Ovis aries: one gene and its partner. The protein of the gene in region 1 binds, or shares a complex with, the protein of each later gene. Links are inferred from orthologs where the notes say so. Each region holds a gene or a part of one and is shown on either strand. Other genes may lie near its edges.

What was found.
Region 2: the proteins of CSF1R (region 1) and CSF1 are in contact, whole or in part, in a crystal structure (PDB 3EJJ), measured with the Mus musculus proteins. The link is inferred for Ovis aries from reciprocal best matches to the Homo sapiens genes CSF1R and CSF1. Residues at the interface, in NP_001032948.2 of Mus musculus: Arg142, Arg146, Leu149, Arg150, Lys151, Lys168, Val169, Leu170, Ser172, Asn173, Val231, Gly232, Phe233, Leu248, Ser250, Asp251, Phe252, Asp254, Asn255, Tyr257, Lys259; in NP_001107002.1 of Mus musculus: His38, His41, Met42, Gly44, Asn45, Gly46, His47, Phe87, Gln90, Asp91, Asp94, Arg98, Asp101, Glu110, Arg111, Gln113, Glu114, Leu115, Asn117.

Annotation. Positions count from the first base shown.
Region 1 is NC_056058.1:59,154,572-59,161,525, forward strand, and holds part of CSF1R (macrophage colony-stimulating factor 1 receptor), read right to left. Parts: intron 4,919-6,954; coding exon 4,792-4,918; intron 4,656-4,791; coding exon 4,551-4,655; intron 4,116-4,550; coding exon 4,005-4,115; intron 3,322-4,004; coding exon 3,159-3,321; intron 1,300-3,158; coding exon 1,208-1,299; intron 1,106-1,207; coding exon 1,008-1,105; intron 452-1,007; coding exon 329-451; intron 260-328; coding exon 148-259; intron 1-147. UniProt on the Homo sapiens protein: Tyrosine-protein kinase that acts as a cell-surface receptor for CSF1 and IL34 and plays an essential role in the regulation of survival, proliferation and differentiation of hematopoietic precursor cells, especially mononuclear phagocytes, such as macrophages and monocytes.
Region 2 is NC_056054.1:87,228,164-87,235,867, reverse strand, and holds the start of CSF1 (macrophage colony-stimulating factor 1), read right to left. Parts: upstream 4,258-7,704; 5' UTR 4,044-4,257; coding exon 4,005-4,043; intron 802-4,004; coding exon 679-801; intron 1-678. UniProt on the Homo sapiens protein: Cytokine that plays an essential role in the regulation of survival, proliferation and differentiation of hematopoietic precursor cells, especially mononuclear phagocytes, such as macrophages and monocytes.

The DNA.
Region 1 (6,954 bases):
GCTTCCCCGACCCCTGCGCCCTCAGCAGCCCTTGCTCTGCACTGACCTCCAAGCCTCCTGGGCCAGCATCCCCCAGGAGGTACAGGTGCTATGGGTCACCAAGCACCAGCCAGCCCCACGCTGAGCCTGACCGGGCCAGCAGCTTACCGAGTGAGAAGATCTCCCAGAGCAGGATGCCATAGGACCACACGTCACTCTGAATGGTGTAGACGCAGTCAAAGATGCTCTCTGGCGCCATCCACTTCACGGGCAGGCGAGCCTGGCACAGCAGACCCCGGTCACCTTGGGCCCAGGGTCGCCACCCCTCCCCAGCCTTCCCAGCACTCACGTTGCCCTTAACGATGTAGTTGGAGTCATTCATGATGTCCCGAGCCAGACCGAAGTCCCCAATCTTGGCCACGTGGCCGCTGGTCAGCAGCACGTTTCTGGCCGCCACGTCCCGATGGATGCACTGGGAAGGCACTGAGGGTCAGTCCTGGCCCCCCAGGGTGCAGGGGCAGCAGCCAGGGCCGCAGAGGGCTTGGCGGATGAGGCAGTGGCCGTCATATTTGCTCCTGTACCCTGGCTCCAGTACCATGACCCAAGTTGGAGAAAATGTCATGTGGTCAGACAGGCAGTGTTGAGAAACCGCCGTGACTGGCCCTCTGGCTGAGAGCAGCAGGAGCCGCCTCAGAAGCTGGGTGGTCTGGAGCTGCTAACAGGACAAGCGGCTGCCACCCTCAGGGCTGGCCCTCCCCTAAGTATCTGCGCACACCGTAACCCTATCTTACCCTCATGCCATCCTACGATTGCATGTCTTTATAGGTGTAGAAACCTGGGCTCGGAGAGGTTCGGCAGTTGCTCAAAGCCACACAGCAAGTGGCAGAGCCAGTCTGTGCTGTGAGGAGCATGGCCCCCTTCACAAACTCCATTCTCTCTCCCGTGTCCTCACCCATCTAGCCTCACGGGTTCAGCTGCCCCCACCCCCCTGGGTGACCACAGAGAGGGACCCATTTTCTGAGACTTACATTCTTGGAAGCAAGAAAGGCCATGCCTTGGGCCACCTGGCTCGAGAAGTGGAGCAGGTCACGCAGCTCCAGTGGCCGCCCGTCCTCCTTGTCCAGGTCTAGGGCGGGTAGAGGCATTAGGATGGCCCCGCTGACCTCCCTGCCCTGCATTGACCCCAGCAACCCCTTTCCTCTCCCTCAGCCCCGGCACCTCCTCACACCTTGTTCAGAGAATGAGTCATTTGACGAAGAAGTGGACACAGGTCTCATCTCCACGTAGGTGTCCACACCCTGGCTGGAGAAGCCGCTGTCCCTGCATAGGAGAGGGGCCCATTATTTCTGCTGCCCAGCTCAGGCCTCGCCCAGCCACTCAGCAGAGAGGAAGGGCCCTGAGTCAACTTGGACTTCAGTTTCTGACCCACTCTCTCAAGTGATCAGCGACCTCTGCCTGGCCGTCCAGTAAGGAAGCTTACAGCTTGTTGCGTCTTTGTCAGCTCTGCCTGTTAGAAGGTCCTCCACTGTTCCTGATGCTAGTCTGGCCCCGGGCTGTCCCTCCTCCTGGTCCTTGCTCTGCCCTCAAGAAGTGTCTCCCTCTTTCCTGGAATGCCCAGCAAGGATTTGATCTTACGCCAGGGCCCCTTCTGTTGAGTCCACTTGTCTGCACTGTGTCTCTCCCTTCTGGCTTCACCCTGAAGCTCCAGATACACACTTAGCAGTTTTCTCTAGGCAATTCTGGTGTGCAGCCAGAGTGGACGCCTGATCTAGAGCTTCTTAAACTAATGCATGTGTGTGTGAATCACCTGGAGAATCTTATTTGAACGCAGGTTCAGACTCTGCAAGTCTGGAGGGGCCTTAGATTGTACATTCCTAACAGCTCTCAGAAGACCATGAGCTTGTGCTCTGGGTAGCTGTTAAGATTGGGTAGCTTCTAATATTTCAACCAGATAGGAGCCTGGACCTCTCACCTCCTGCCCCCTGCTGTGATAGAGATGTGCACCGTGATGACGTCCTTACTCTAGTGTTCCCAGAAAAACAATCCAGTGTTTTATTTATGGTCTGACCATCGAAAAACTATTCTCTCCTGTGGTCTAGAAACTATACTTCTATTAATGTAGCCTGGGATCCCATTAGCAGGATTGGTCCACATGCCACTTGCTCTTGAAATCGTGAAAATGGAAGCTAACACTTGACTTCTGTTCTCATTTCAAGTTGATCTGGCCTGAGTTCCCAGCCTGCTGAGGCCCAGCATGAGCCACCCTCTCCAAAGGGTGTCAGAAACTCCGAAGAGGAAGCAGATCCTGCCAGCCTGCGTGCTCGAGGTCACTGGATAGAGTGGCATGGTCTCCTTCCCCTTCTCCCAGGCTGGGTAGCTGACAGTGGTAAAATAGCTCAGTGTATACCCTCTCCTGATCCTGCTGCAGCTCCCAGCAGCCTGGCCCAGAGGCCTCACAGGCCCTGAGTCCAAGGCATGCAGGAGAGCGGCGTGGCTTAGGTGAGCACTGGACGAGGTGGCAGCAGCAGGGCCCAACCAGGCTCCGCCTCTGCCCCTGACTCATGTGTGACACAAAATGCCACTTCCTCTCTGTGGTTCCCCATGTGGCTCTGTCCCCCTCCCTCTGGGTGGCTTCCAGAAATCACAGCATTTCAGAGTGAGAGAGCAGAGACTCAGAGGCTCAGCCTGGATGGCTTCTTGGGGAAACAGGCCCAAGTGGACCAAGGACCTGGCCACAGCTATGCTGTGATACTTTGTGTTGGATGATGCCTTCTCATCCAACAAGGAACAGACTCTATCCCGCTTCCCCATGGCTACTCAAAATTGGGATGGGTGCTATGGGAGAAATAGGGCCATTATCCCCAAGACTTGCCCGTCTCTAGTTAGGGCCCTAAATAGATCTTATATGCACGATAAAATGATTCATTAACACCTGACTCCACCAGACTGTGAGCTGCCTATCTCTGCCCGCTATCCTCCCGGAACATAGTAGGGGATCAAATATTCCTTGGACAATAGGAATAAGTAGGAGACAAACTAAAGTGCCCACATAATACTGGCGGCTACTCCCCATAGCACGGGCGGGAAGGTGAAGCCCACACAGCCACCCAACCCTGAGCTGACTTTGGGAATAGACACAGGGCCCCACCTCCCAGTCCGGGCCTTTGCCAGGATACTACCTGCGGATGTATTTCTTTTCCAAGTGGATGTTCTTGTAGCCGGTGCCTGCCTCGGGATCCTGGCCTGGACTCAGGCTGGGTCCCAGCATGGCCTCAGCCTTCCTTCGCAGAAAGTTGAGCAGGTCACCATAGCAACAATACTCCGTGATGACAAGGACAGGGCCTAGAGCAGCCACAAGAGTGGGGTCAGTGCACCCTTAATCCACCACCCCACCTGGACAAGAATGTGGGGAAAGGGCAATAAGAACCTGGGCTGTGACTCTGTCACAGGTTCTTATCCTGCTTGTCTGTAAGCAGCCCTCCATGCTTTCTGGGCCTCAGTGACCACATCTGTCTAGAGCAGAGGGCCCTCCAAAAAACTAGCTGAAGAATTCTTTCTTCAAAGGAAAACTAAGGCAGTTCCATATAAGTCACAGTTGCTATAGGAGAAGAGAATGGGGTGGGCTGAATCCCCATGGGTCCTGGGACACTTCTATGGGCCCTGCAGTGAGTGCCCAGCCTCTTTGAGTCGGGGCTTAAAGTTAGGTTTGAAGGGCCTCACTCCAGACCCACAGCATCAGACTCTCTGGAGTGGGGCCCAGAGATCTGCATTCTTTGCTCCTTTTCCAGGTGACTCTGATGTCCCCACATGTCTGAGAGCCACTGGCCAGAGCTCCCAGAACTGCCTGTCATCCACAAGCAGCTTCTGACCAGTCCAGGCGTCTGGCCTAGGAATTCAAGGGGTGCCCAGACAGGGATCCTACCTTCACTTTGTGGGGATGGGAAGGGGAAGATGGATGGCGTGAGGCCCTGGGGCCCTCAGACACTCCAGATCATGGCCCCGCCATGCCTGCCAGGGCCCCTCACCTCCGTGGGTACAGGCTCCCAGGAGGTTGACTATGTTCTCGTGCTGGCCCAGGTGGCTCATGATCTTCAGCTCTGACATGAGGGCTTCCTTCTCGTCAGCGTGCGCCGTGGCTGGGAGGTGGGGCCACAGAGAAAGGGCAGGACGTGGAGGGCCACACACAGGAGACACGGAGCAAAGCAGGGGGCACCCGGAGCACCCACGGTAATCAGAAGCCGAAAGAGGCAGAGTCAATGGCATACAGATGAGAGTTGGGGGAGAGAGAAGAGGTGGCGTGTCACTGAACTGGTTTGGGCCAAGCTGGGGCCCAGCCAGAGCCCAGGGCGGCCTCTCATCCCAGCCCCTTTGGGCTTCAGTCAGAAGCCCTTCCACACCCAGGATAAGAGAGAGCCTGGAGCTCACAAAGGAAACAGAGCGGCTTCACGCCCGATCCCAGGCTCTGACAGGCCGAAAATGCGGGCGATGCCCCGTGACCACAGGACAGACCGTCCCGGTGGTGTCCGCCGCCTCCTACCCGCTCCCCCACCCCCGAGCCCTCCTGCACTCACACTTCAGCATCTTCACAGCCACCTTCAGGACAGCATCTTCCTTGCCCAGACCAAAAGCCGTGGCCTCTACCACCTTCCCAAAGGCTCCGGCTCCGAGGGTCTTACCTGGCACACACACACGCACAGCCTTCTCAGGTCCTGGGGTGCCAGACGGGCCTCCCTCTAAGGGCCCGCAGGCTCCCCGCCACCCACTCCGGCCCTGTGACAGGAGGGCGTGGGGGGTGCAGAGACCCCGGCTCACCAAACTGCAGGTTGTTCCGGGGGAACTCCCACTTCTCATTGTAGGGCAGCTGGGTGGGGTCGATGAAGGTGTAGCTGTTGCCTTCATAGCTCTCGATGATCTTCCAGCGCACCTGGTACTTGGGCTTCTGTAGGGGGCGGGGAAGGGGAAGAGGAAGGGGAGGAAGGTCAGCCGGGCCTGCCAGGTGGGTCTGGGACATCATCCCGACCCAGGAGGACAGGGGCTGGGCGGTCCCACCGCACAGCGCAAGGAGGTGGGTGTGTGGCCCGCAATTTGGCGACAGGGGCCATGCCACCCCACACCTATGGTACCAAGAGCCCAGTCCTTGTCTGGCTTGGCCTTACCAAGGGACCATCCATTCGCCAGGCCTCAGTTTCCCTAGCTGTATATTGGAAGATTTAGGACCATGTCTGAGGGTCTTGACAGCTCTGATAATTTGGTAATTCCTGAGCTAGGAGGGAGGGTGAAACTATAGGTCCGTTCACACATCCACCCCCCCATCCAAGTATCAGCTATTTTATTTTCACTTGTGGTGAGATACATATAACGAAATTCACCAAGTCAACCATTTCTCAGTATACCGCTCGGTGGTGGTACGTACATTCACACTGTTGCGCAACGAATCTCCAGAACTCTTTCCATCTTGAAAAGCTGAAACTGCCTTCACTAAACAACAGCTCCCCATTCCCACCTTCCACTTATCTCGTGCATCTGACCGTCCCAGGTACCTGATTTAATTGGAATCATGCAGAATCTGTCCCTTTGTGACTGTCTCGTCTCACTCAGCATGACGTCTTCAAGGTTCACCTATGTGGTTGCCTATATCAACATTTCCTCCCCTTTTAAGGCTGGGTATTACTCCCATCTAAATATTTCACGGAGCACATATTTGTTTCAGGCATCAATGATTCAGAGTTGAACAAAACAGAGTTCCTGTCCCCTGGAGTTTGCATTCTAGTGGCTAAGACAGGCATTCCACTCAAATACATACATACATAGGACTACAAATACAAAGTGTAGAAAAAAATAGATTTTCAGATGGCTCGATGGAGACAATACAGCAGGGCGAGAGGACAGAGGGAGCTGGGGACATTGGAAGACAAGTCAGGGAGGGCCCCCAGGGAGGTGAGAGGGTGCCGGCCAGGGGAGCAGCGGGGGGACAGGGGTGTGGAGGTGAGAGGATGCCGGCCAGGGGAGCAGTGGGGGGACAGGGGTGTGGAGGTGCTAAGGCTCTGGAGAGGCTGAGGCACTGGAGGTGCCACGTGGCTGGAGGCGAGCGGGCACAGTTCTGAAGGCAGGAAAGTCTTGAGGGCAGCCAGTCACTGAGTGAATTCTCTCCGTGCCAGGAGAAACCTCCTAGGCTTGATGCAGATGAGTGATGCGTCAGACTTTACAAAGTTAAAGGACAGATGGAGAGAGACCCCGCACACACAACAGTGAGCAGCTGGCGCACCCACTCAGGCTCTCCATGCTGCTCCAACCAGCCGGCCGGTGGCAGAGCCTGAACTTCGGGGAAGTGGCTGCCGCTCTCGTTCCTGCCCAGGGTGGCAGCTGCATGGGGGCATGATGCCAGGGGGTGCCCACGAGAAGTGCTGATGGAAGACAGAGTTTAGGTGGAAAGTGGAAGCTGGGGTGGAGCGTTGGAGAACACCGAGGCCTCGGGTCAGCAGTCCAACTCTCTTTCCGGTCACTCGTGGGGCATGGAGGCCAGCTGGGCTGTGTTGTTTAGCAGCTGGGCTCCTCCATGGGGCACCCTCCTCGAGGTGGGGGGAGCTCAAGTGGGTGCTGGGAGGAGGGCGGCCTGTGACTGAAGCCTCCTAGGTAGCCATCAGGAAGAACGTCCAGACGGTAGTTTGGAGGGAGAGATTGCAGTTAGACCTAAGGAAGAACTTCCAGGTTCTGATTCAGAACGAGAGACTACAGGCAAATGTCAGGACGGCCATGGTAGAGTTATAGCGGATAGTCTGAAATGGGACAGGAGGATTTCCTGAGTGTCAGAGGATTCAAGCCCTGCCTGTGGCTGCCTTTCCAACTCAAAGGACAGAAACAGCACCAGGAAGGATTCCTTTTCCTCTCCTGGCCACTTCCATCTCCAGCAGCCACTGCGGTGAAGCTATCTTTTCCTCCTTGCCACTTCTCCTTCCTCTGGCCCTGCAGCTGGGC
Region 2 (7,704 bases), on another chromosome or scaffold:
GGGAGGCCTGGTATATTGCAATTGGCGGGTCGCAAAGAGTTGGACACGACTGAGAGACTGAACTGAACTGAACTGAACCATGCTAGGAATTGTTGACATCTCTGCTGGCCTGATGAGGGTGAGGCATGGGTTCTTTCAAGGCCTGGGTGAGCAGGCCATCCCAGCCCCAGGGTTCGGGCAAGAGCCAGGGAAGTGTCGGGATAGGGCCGGGAGTCAGCTGGGAGTCTCCCTTCCAAATCTGGCTGAGGCCCTGGTGCCAGGCTGGTGGCACATCTGGGAGTCCAGGAGCTAGAGGCAACATTTGGACACAGAGGCCGACTGGGCTGGCTCCTCGAGGGAAGCATCCCATCAAGGGGGAGCAGGCTTTACAAGCCTTTTCAGAGTCCTTGATGGACATTCGAGGCCATCATTAACCCAGGCAACCAGCTAGAAGCCTACCCTGTGCCCTGCCTGCAGGAGAGCTGGAGAGGGCTTTAGGATTGGGGTGGGTGAGGGGTCAGAAGCATTGACCTTTAGAAGGTCAATGAGAAGAACATCTGTGGAGCTAGTGGGAGCCACAAGCCACATCCTGCACCGCCGTTCTCCTCTCCTCTGCCTACAACCCCTCTCTTTGGCCCTGTTCCCTGCCTCCGTTTCCCCAGTGGGGAGAAGCTGGGGTAGTCAGGGCCACACACTCACCAGCTGCTGCAGGAACAGCAGGTGTCCGTTCCCAATCATGTGGCTACAGTTCTCCGACACCTCCTCAGTAGCACCACTGCTCACCAGGAGACAGGCCAGCAGCAGCAGACGGCCCAGCCATGTCTGCGATAGAGAGGGCATCATTTCTCCCCAGCTCTCTCACACTCCCCAGGAACCACCCTCCCCTGCTGAGGATGGAAAAACAAGGACCTCAGACCTACAGTGCTACAGGCTCGGCCTCTCATCCCAGAATACAGCATTCCCAAAGTCACCTTCATCAAGATTTCCTAAGAACCACACACAACCCTGCTCTCCCTTGATAACAACACAAATGTCACCTCCTCCAAGAAGCTTTCCCAGATTAACCCAGGCCAAGCCACTCTACACTGAATTTCTAATGAGGACATGGGAGTTGTGCCTGCCAGTCTAAATGCCAGTCACATAGGAAACTCCTCGAATGCAGGACTTGCTTCTACCCATTATTCTGACTCTGCAACGTCAAACACTGAGCCAGACATCTTGGGAGCTGCCCACTCCTCTCAAGTTCATGTTCCTACACTGGCTGGCTTCCACACTTGGAGCCAGAGACATCTCTCTGGGCCCAGCCCTTCCTCCTACCTGATTCCGCATGTGTCTGGCTCTGCTAATGGAAAAACCAGGGGCCCAAACTCAGTTTCACTGGGAACCTATCCCGCATCACAGACCTTTGGAGCCCTAGGGCTTTGTGTCAAGAAGAGCCCAACTGATTAATCAGAGGCAGCAGTGCCAACTTTAGACCATCCCTGGCTGGCACCTACCTATTGGAGCCCCATCAGGCTCTGCATCCAGCCTGACAGCTCTTATCATTGCAAGAACATTTTCTGAGATCTCTCCCCTCTTTCAGCACCCCCCTGACCCAGTAGCTGCTCGTCCCCAGAGTGATGGATGAGCTCCTGACACCCTGTCATTCCACTTTCCTCCTTCTTGCTAAGGTCCCCTTAGCCCTCTCCCTGGCTCTAGGTACCCCCTTCTCCAGCCAGAGGCAAAGAAAGACTCTTGGGCTGTCTCTCCCAAGCTGGATGTCGCCTCCTGGCACATTGGGGGAAATGCTGTCAGGGTGGGGTGTAGGCTGGTACCTTCCTGGGTTCTGGGCTCTGCCTTTTAATTCAGATGCTGAGACAAATAGCGCAAACAAATAGCACACTGGAGGCTGTGAAGCAGCCCATAACAACATGCTGATTTACATAGAACTAAAAGCCTAAAATGTTTGTCAGCTCTTACCAGGGAGGAGAAGCCCTGGCTGAGCTCCAGGGAGGTTGCGGGGAGGAGAAGCCACAGTAAGACCTTCAAAGATGGGGGGGTGGGGGGGTGGGTAGAGAGGTGGGGGGGGGTAGGGGGGGAGTTGATGGCAGAGAGAGGAGGGGGAAGGGGGGCCTGGAGGAAAGAGGCTCGGGATGGCCCAGTGCTGTTCAGCACCAGGGTCTGGTGAGGGTCCTGGTCCGACCTGGGCGAGGCAGACTGTGGAAGAGGGAAAAGAGTCATGGAGGGAACACTGGGCTCTGTTGGGTGGTTAAAGAGGGAGTTCTGGGTGGGAATGGCTGTGCCAGCCCTCAGGAACCTGCACTTCAGGACCCACGGGAGGATACTGGGCCATGCAGAAGGTATGTCTCTGCCCCAGGCTGGTTGCCCCTGAGGCTCCAAGCCTCAGGTGTCAGTGGTTTGGAGGAAAGGGTCCATGGGGAAGGGGATGCTCAGGAAGATAGCCTTGTCACAGACGAGTTAAGATATTGATGTTTGAGGGCAGCCAGGAGGGGGCAATGCTTAACCCCAAGGGCTGCCTGGCTTCTGCAGTTATTTCAAGCATCAGTGTGGGGAGTGTACAGCCACCATGTGGGAGGCTGGCTTTGAAGGTGGCCAAAGGGGACCACCCCTGCACCTGGGGCCTTGACGTGGCCTGAGAGGAGGAGCTGCACAGGTACCCAAGGGTTAACACTCTAGCTTGTGTCTGGCTGGGCTGGCTCTTCTCCCCCCTCCTTTCTTCTTCCCACCCACCAGCTTTGGCCTCTGGGGCAGCCCTAGGAATCTCTGCTTCAGGCTCAGAGAGACTCTGAGACATCTCAGCCCAGCCACCCATCCTCACCTGCTTCTCACCATGTCCCAAATTCCCTGGCAAAATGGTCCCTGGAGAGACCTTAGCATGAGTGGACCCTCAGGCTGAGGGTCTAAAATCAGCCTCTTTCCTTCCATGCTTACCTTCCTCTTCTTTCCTCACCGTCTCACTTCCAGCCCCTATTTGTCTTGTTGCCCTCACCTCACCCTTCCTGACTTCCCCTCCTAACCCCATCTCATCTCTTTCAGCTGGCTCTTCCTCCTCATGGAAGGGCTTGTCCCTATCACCCTACTTGCAACCTCCCTCCCTTATCCTCGGAATATTTTTCTGCTTCTCTCGCTGCCCCCATCCCCCCACCCCCCACCAGGTTTCTCCTCTAGAATTCCTCAGAAGCAAACCCACTGGCAGGGTTTGCCTTACTGTCCATTAATGGAGTCACTCTGCACCATCTAGCAGCTGCCCCAGCTACAGCCCATGGTTAGAGCAGGGCAGTGGTGAACCGCCCGCAGCTCCTGCCCACAGTTCTGCAACCCCAAACCTTCCTTCCACCTCCTTTACCATCATCAAGCCCAGGAGCTCCCCGACTGACTGAACCTGAATCTGCAGGAAGATCCAGAGCTGGCACCAGGCAACTCTGGTACCCCCATCCCCCACAAAACGGACTTGATCCAGCCACCCAAGTGCCCAACAGCTCCTGTCTGTGAGCTGGAACAAGTAGTGGCTTGCCCAGCTCCTTCCTTCTGCCTTGCATTCTCTAAGTTGGATGGCACCTGAACTTTCCCCATTCAGAAGCGCCCACTCCCCAGCAGGACCTAGAAGCATGCGTATGGCCCGTGTGGAATGCCCACTGGGCAGGCGCCACCCTCAGGCGCACAGCCATTCTGCCTGTCCCTTGGCGGTGGAGAGAGTCTAGGACGGAGCTTCTGTCCCTTGACTGCAAACCCTTCTCCTTTGCCCGCAGGTGGCTCCGTGTGCCTCTCCCTGCAATGGGGTAAGCAGTCTTCCCTTCCCCAAAGAGGTGCCGCAGCCCCAGGAGCAGCTGCAGGGCCGCTTCTGGTCCCAGCCCCAGCGCAAGAGGGGCCTCGCGCAGTCGGCGTGCAAAGATGGGCCCGGTGCCGGGAGACGGAAGAGCCTCTGCAGTCGGCGCGCGCTGGGCAGTGGGCTCCGAGGAGCCCGGCTGCGCCGCCAAGCTCCAGTCCCAGCCCGGCCCGGGCCCGGCCCCGCGGCGATCGCTTACCGTGGGAGGGCAGCGCCCGGCGGCGCCCCGCGCGGTCATACGGGCAGCTGGGTCCCGGCCGGGCGCGTCGGCCGCCCTCGCTCTGCCGCTCGCTGTCTTGATCGCTGGCCGCTGCAGAGTCCGCGCCCTGGCCGAGGGCCGCGCTGCTGACCTGGGAGTGTAGGGGGACTCGCGGCGGCGCGCGGAGCACCCAGACAAACTTTCACTTTCCCCGAGCCGGGCTCCACTGGCCAGCTCCTCGGCACAGCCTTTTAAGCGGACTTGTGAGGCATGTGCTTTATGGGAAATCACCTTGGACAGGCGCCAGACACACACACACACGCACACACACAGGCGCGGGCGCACTGACAGACACACACACTCCGGAGGCCCACTGAACGCCTCCCCGCCCCCACCCAGCGGGCCGGTCTTCTCCGTTTGTCTTCCAGTCGCCCTGTGTGCTGCGCTCAAAGCCAAAGCCTTCAAGAAAGTAACGCGGGCTCCGCCGCCTCCCGCCCTCCAGCGCGCGGATTTTGGACAGAGCCTGGTCTTTCCTTCCGCGCTCTCCAGGCGGATCCGGTGCGCGCGCTCTCTCTCTCGTTCTAATATGTGTCTCAAGGGACTTTCCCTCTGGGTCTGAAAATTCCCAAATCTGAGCAGGAAATGGCCTGAGAGCAGGGGCGAACACTGGAGACCGACTGCGCTTGCTGTGGCACCTTGTGGAGCCTTAGTCAGCAGGTTTGGGGGCAGCCCTCTCCTTATGCAGCCCCCAAAGCGCCCGTCCAGCCTCTGTCTTCTCTTCTGGGGGCAGGGTACAGGCAGAGAGGCTACTACCTGACCAGAAGGGGATGAATTGTGTCCTGTGACAGGGACTGGGACACTCTGCTGTGTCCCAGGAGATGCTTCCCACACCTGACCTGCAGGTGATGAAAACGCTGGCTGGAACCCAGGATCCCTCCTGAGCCTCAGACCTGGGGAGATTGGCACCCAAGCCCTACAGTTCCCTGATGCTTTTGAAAATGGATTTACTGAAATGATTAAGCTCATTTTGTCTCTATATGAGAATGAATCTAAATGAGGCTAAATAGGACGAGCCTGTTAATCATAAAGTCAAATTCAAGAGCTTTTTCTTTCTTCAGTTCCTAGGGTTCAATGTTTCAGTCTCTCTGTGGCTCCACCCATCCCCATCCCCTGGGAAATACATGTCTGGAAGGGGCATCTCCTGTCACTTATTCCAGCCCCTATTAGTAATTTTATAACTGCTTGCTCTTATTAATACTGGTGCCTCTGTTTACAATGCTCCTTTCCCAACTTGTGCTTAAGGCAAACACCTCATCTGTCAAGGCTGGAGTCAGACCACATCCTTCACCAGCAGAGCCTTTTTTGACTACTCAGGCAGATCAATGATTCCCGTCCCTGTGGTCTCACTGAATTTGGCTCCTTTCTCTGTAGTTTCTCTGATAAATTGTCATTCATTCATTGTCCACAGTATTCTAAAAGTGTTTCAAGGGATGCTGATAGCTATATTCTGGAGCATCAGACTGAAGCTTCAGCCCCACTGTGACTGAGACTTCCTCCAAGCTGGTCCTGTATTTCAGTTCAGTTCAGTCATGTCCGATTCTTTGCAACCCCATGGACTGCAGCATGCCAGCCTTCCCTGTCCTTCACCATCTCCCAGAGTTTGCTCAAACTCATGTCCATCGAATTGGTGATGCCACCCAACCTTCTCATCCTTTGTAGTCCCCTTCTCCTCCTGCCTTCAGTCTTTCCCAGCATCAGGGTCTTTTCCCATGAGTCAGTTCTTGGCATCAGGTGTCCCAAGTATTGGAGCTTCAGCTTCAGTGTCAGTACTTCCAATGAATATTCAAGACTGATTACCTTTAGAATGGACTGGTTGGATCTCCTTGCAGTCCAAGGGACTCTCAAGAGTCTTCTCCAACACCACAGTTCAAAAGCATCAATTCTTTGGCGGTCAGCTTTCTTTATGGTACATCTCTCACATCCATACATGACTCCTGGAAAAACTGTAGCTTGTCTTGTGTTTACCTCTAAATTGAAGGTGCCCAGCACACACTTGGTACCCAGTCGATAGTGACTGAATTACATGAAGCCATTAGAGAATAATTCATTCATTTGACAAATGTGCACCATGTGGCTACTACGTGCTGGGCACTGGGCTACACCTGGGAATGTGACGATGGACATGTCGGCATATCTCTGCTTTCATGGGTTTGGGAGTAGTCAGAGCTTAAAGGGCGTGGGGCAGCCGTGGATGCACAGAGACCTGAGGAAGGAAGGCCTGAGCCTGAGCCCAGCCAGAGGAAGGAGGCTAAGGCCTTACTTCCCCTGGGCATTGTCAAGTGGTCCCAGTACAAAATGATTTAAGATAGATAACATGTTGACACCACTTGTTCTTAGGACTGATAAGAGGTTGGAGTAAGTGATGTGCCGAGATAAACCTCTTGTTTTCTTCAGTTCAGTTTAGTTCAGTCGCCCGGTCATGTCCGACTCTTTGCGACCCCATGAATTGCAGCACTCCAGGCCTCCCTGTCCATCACCAACTCCTGGAGTCCACCCAAACCCATGTCCATTGAGTTGGTGATACCATCCAACCATCTCATCCTCTGTTGTCCCCTTCTCCTCCTGCCCCTAATCTCGCCCAGCATCAGGGTCTTTCTAATGAGTCAACTCTTCGCAGCAGGTGGCCAAAGTATTGGAGTTTCAGCTTCAACATGAGTCCTACCAATGAACACCCACGACTGATCTCCTTTAGGATGGACTGGTTGGATCTCCTTGCAGTCCAAGGGATTCTCAAGAGTCTTCTCCAACACCACAGTTCAAAAGCATCAATTCTTCAGTGCTCAGCTTTCTTTATAGTCCAACTCTCACATCCATACATGACTACTGAAAAAACCATAGCCTTGACTAGACAGACCTTTGTTGGCAAAGTCATGTCTCTGCTTTTTAATTTGCTGTATAGGTTGGTCATAACTTTCCTTCCAAGGAGTAAGCGTCTTTTAATTTCATGGCTGCAATCTGCAGTGATTTTGGAAACCAGAAAAATTAAGCCAGCCACTGTTTCCACTGTTTCCCCATCTATTTCCCATGAAGTGAGGGGACTGGATGCCATGATATTAGTTTTCTGAATGTTGAGCTTTTTCACTCTCCTCTTTCACTTTGCTCGAGAGGCTCTTTAGTTCCTCTTCACTTTCTGCCATAAGGGTGGTGTCATCTGCATATCTGAGATTTTTGATATTTCTCCCGGCAATCTTGATTCCAGCTTGTGCTCCTCCAGCCTAGCGTTTCTCATGATGTACTCTACATATAAGTTAAAATAAGTAGGGTGACAATATACAGCCTTGACCTACTCCTTTTCCTATTTGGAACCAGTCTGTTGTTCCATGTCCACTTCTAACTTTTGGTTCCTGACCTGCATACAGGTTTCTCAGGAGGCAGGTCAGGTGGCCTGGTATTCCCATCTCTTTCAGAATTTTCCACAGTTTATTGTGATCCACTCAGTCAAAGGCTTTGGCATAGTCAATAAAACAGAAATAGATGTTTTTCTGGAACTCTCTTGCTTTTTCCATGATCCAGCGGATGTTGGCAATTTGATCTCTGGTTCCTCTGCCTTTTCTAAAACCAGCTTGAACATCTGGAAGTTCACGGTTCACATATTGCTGAAGCCTGGCTTGGAGAATTTTGAGCATTACTTTACTAGTGT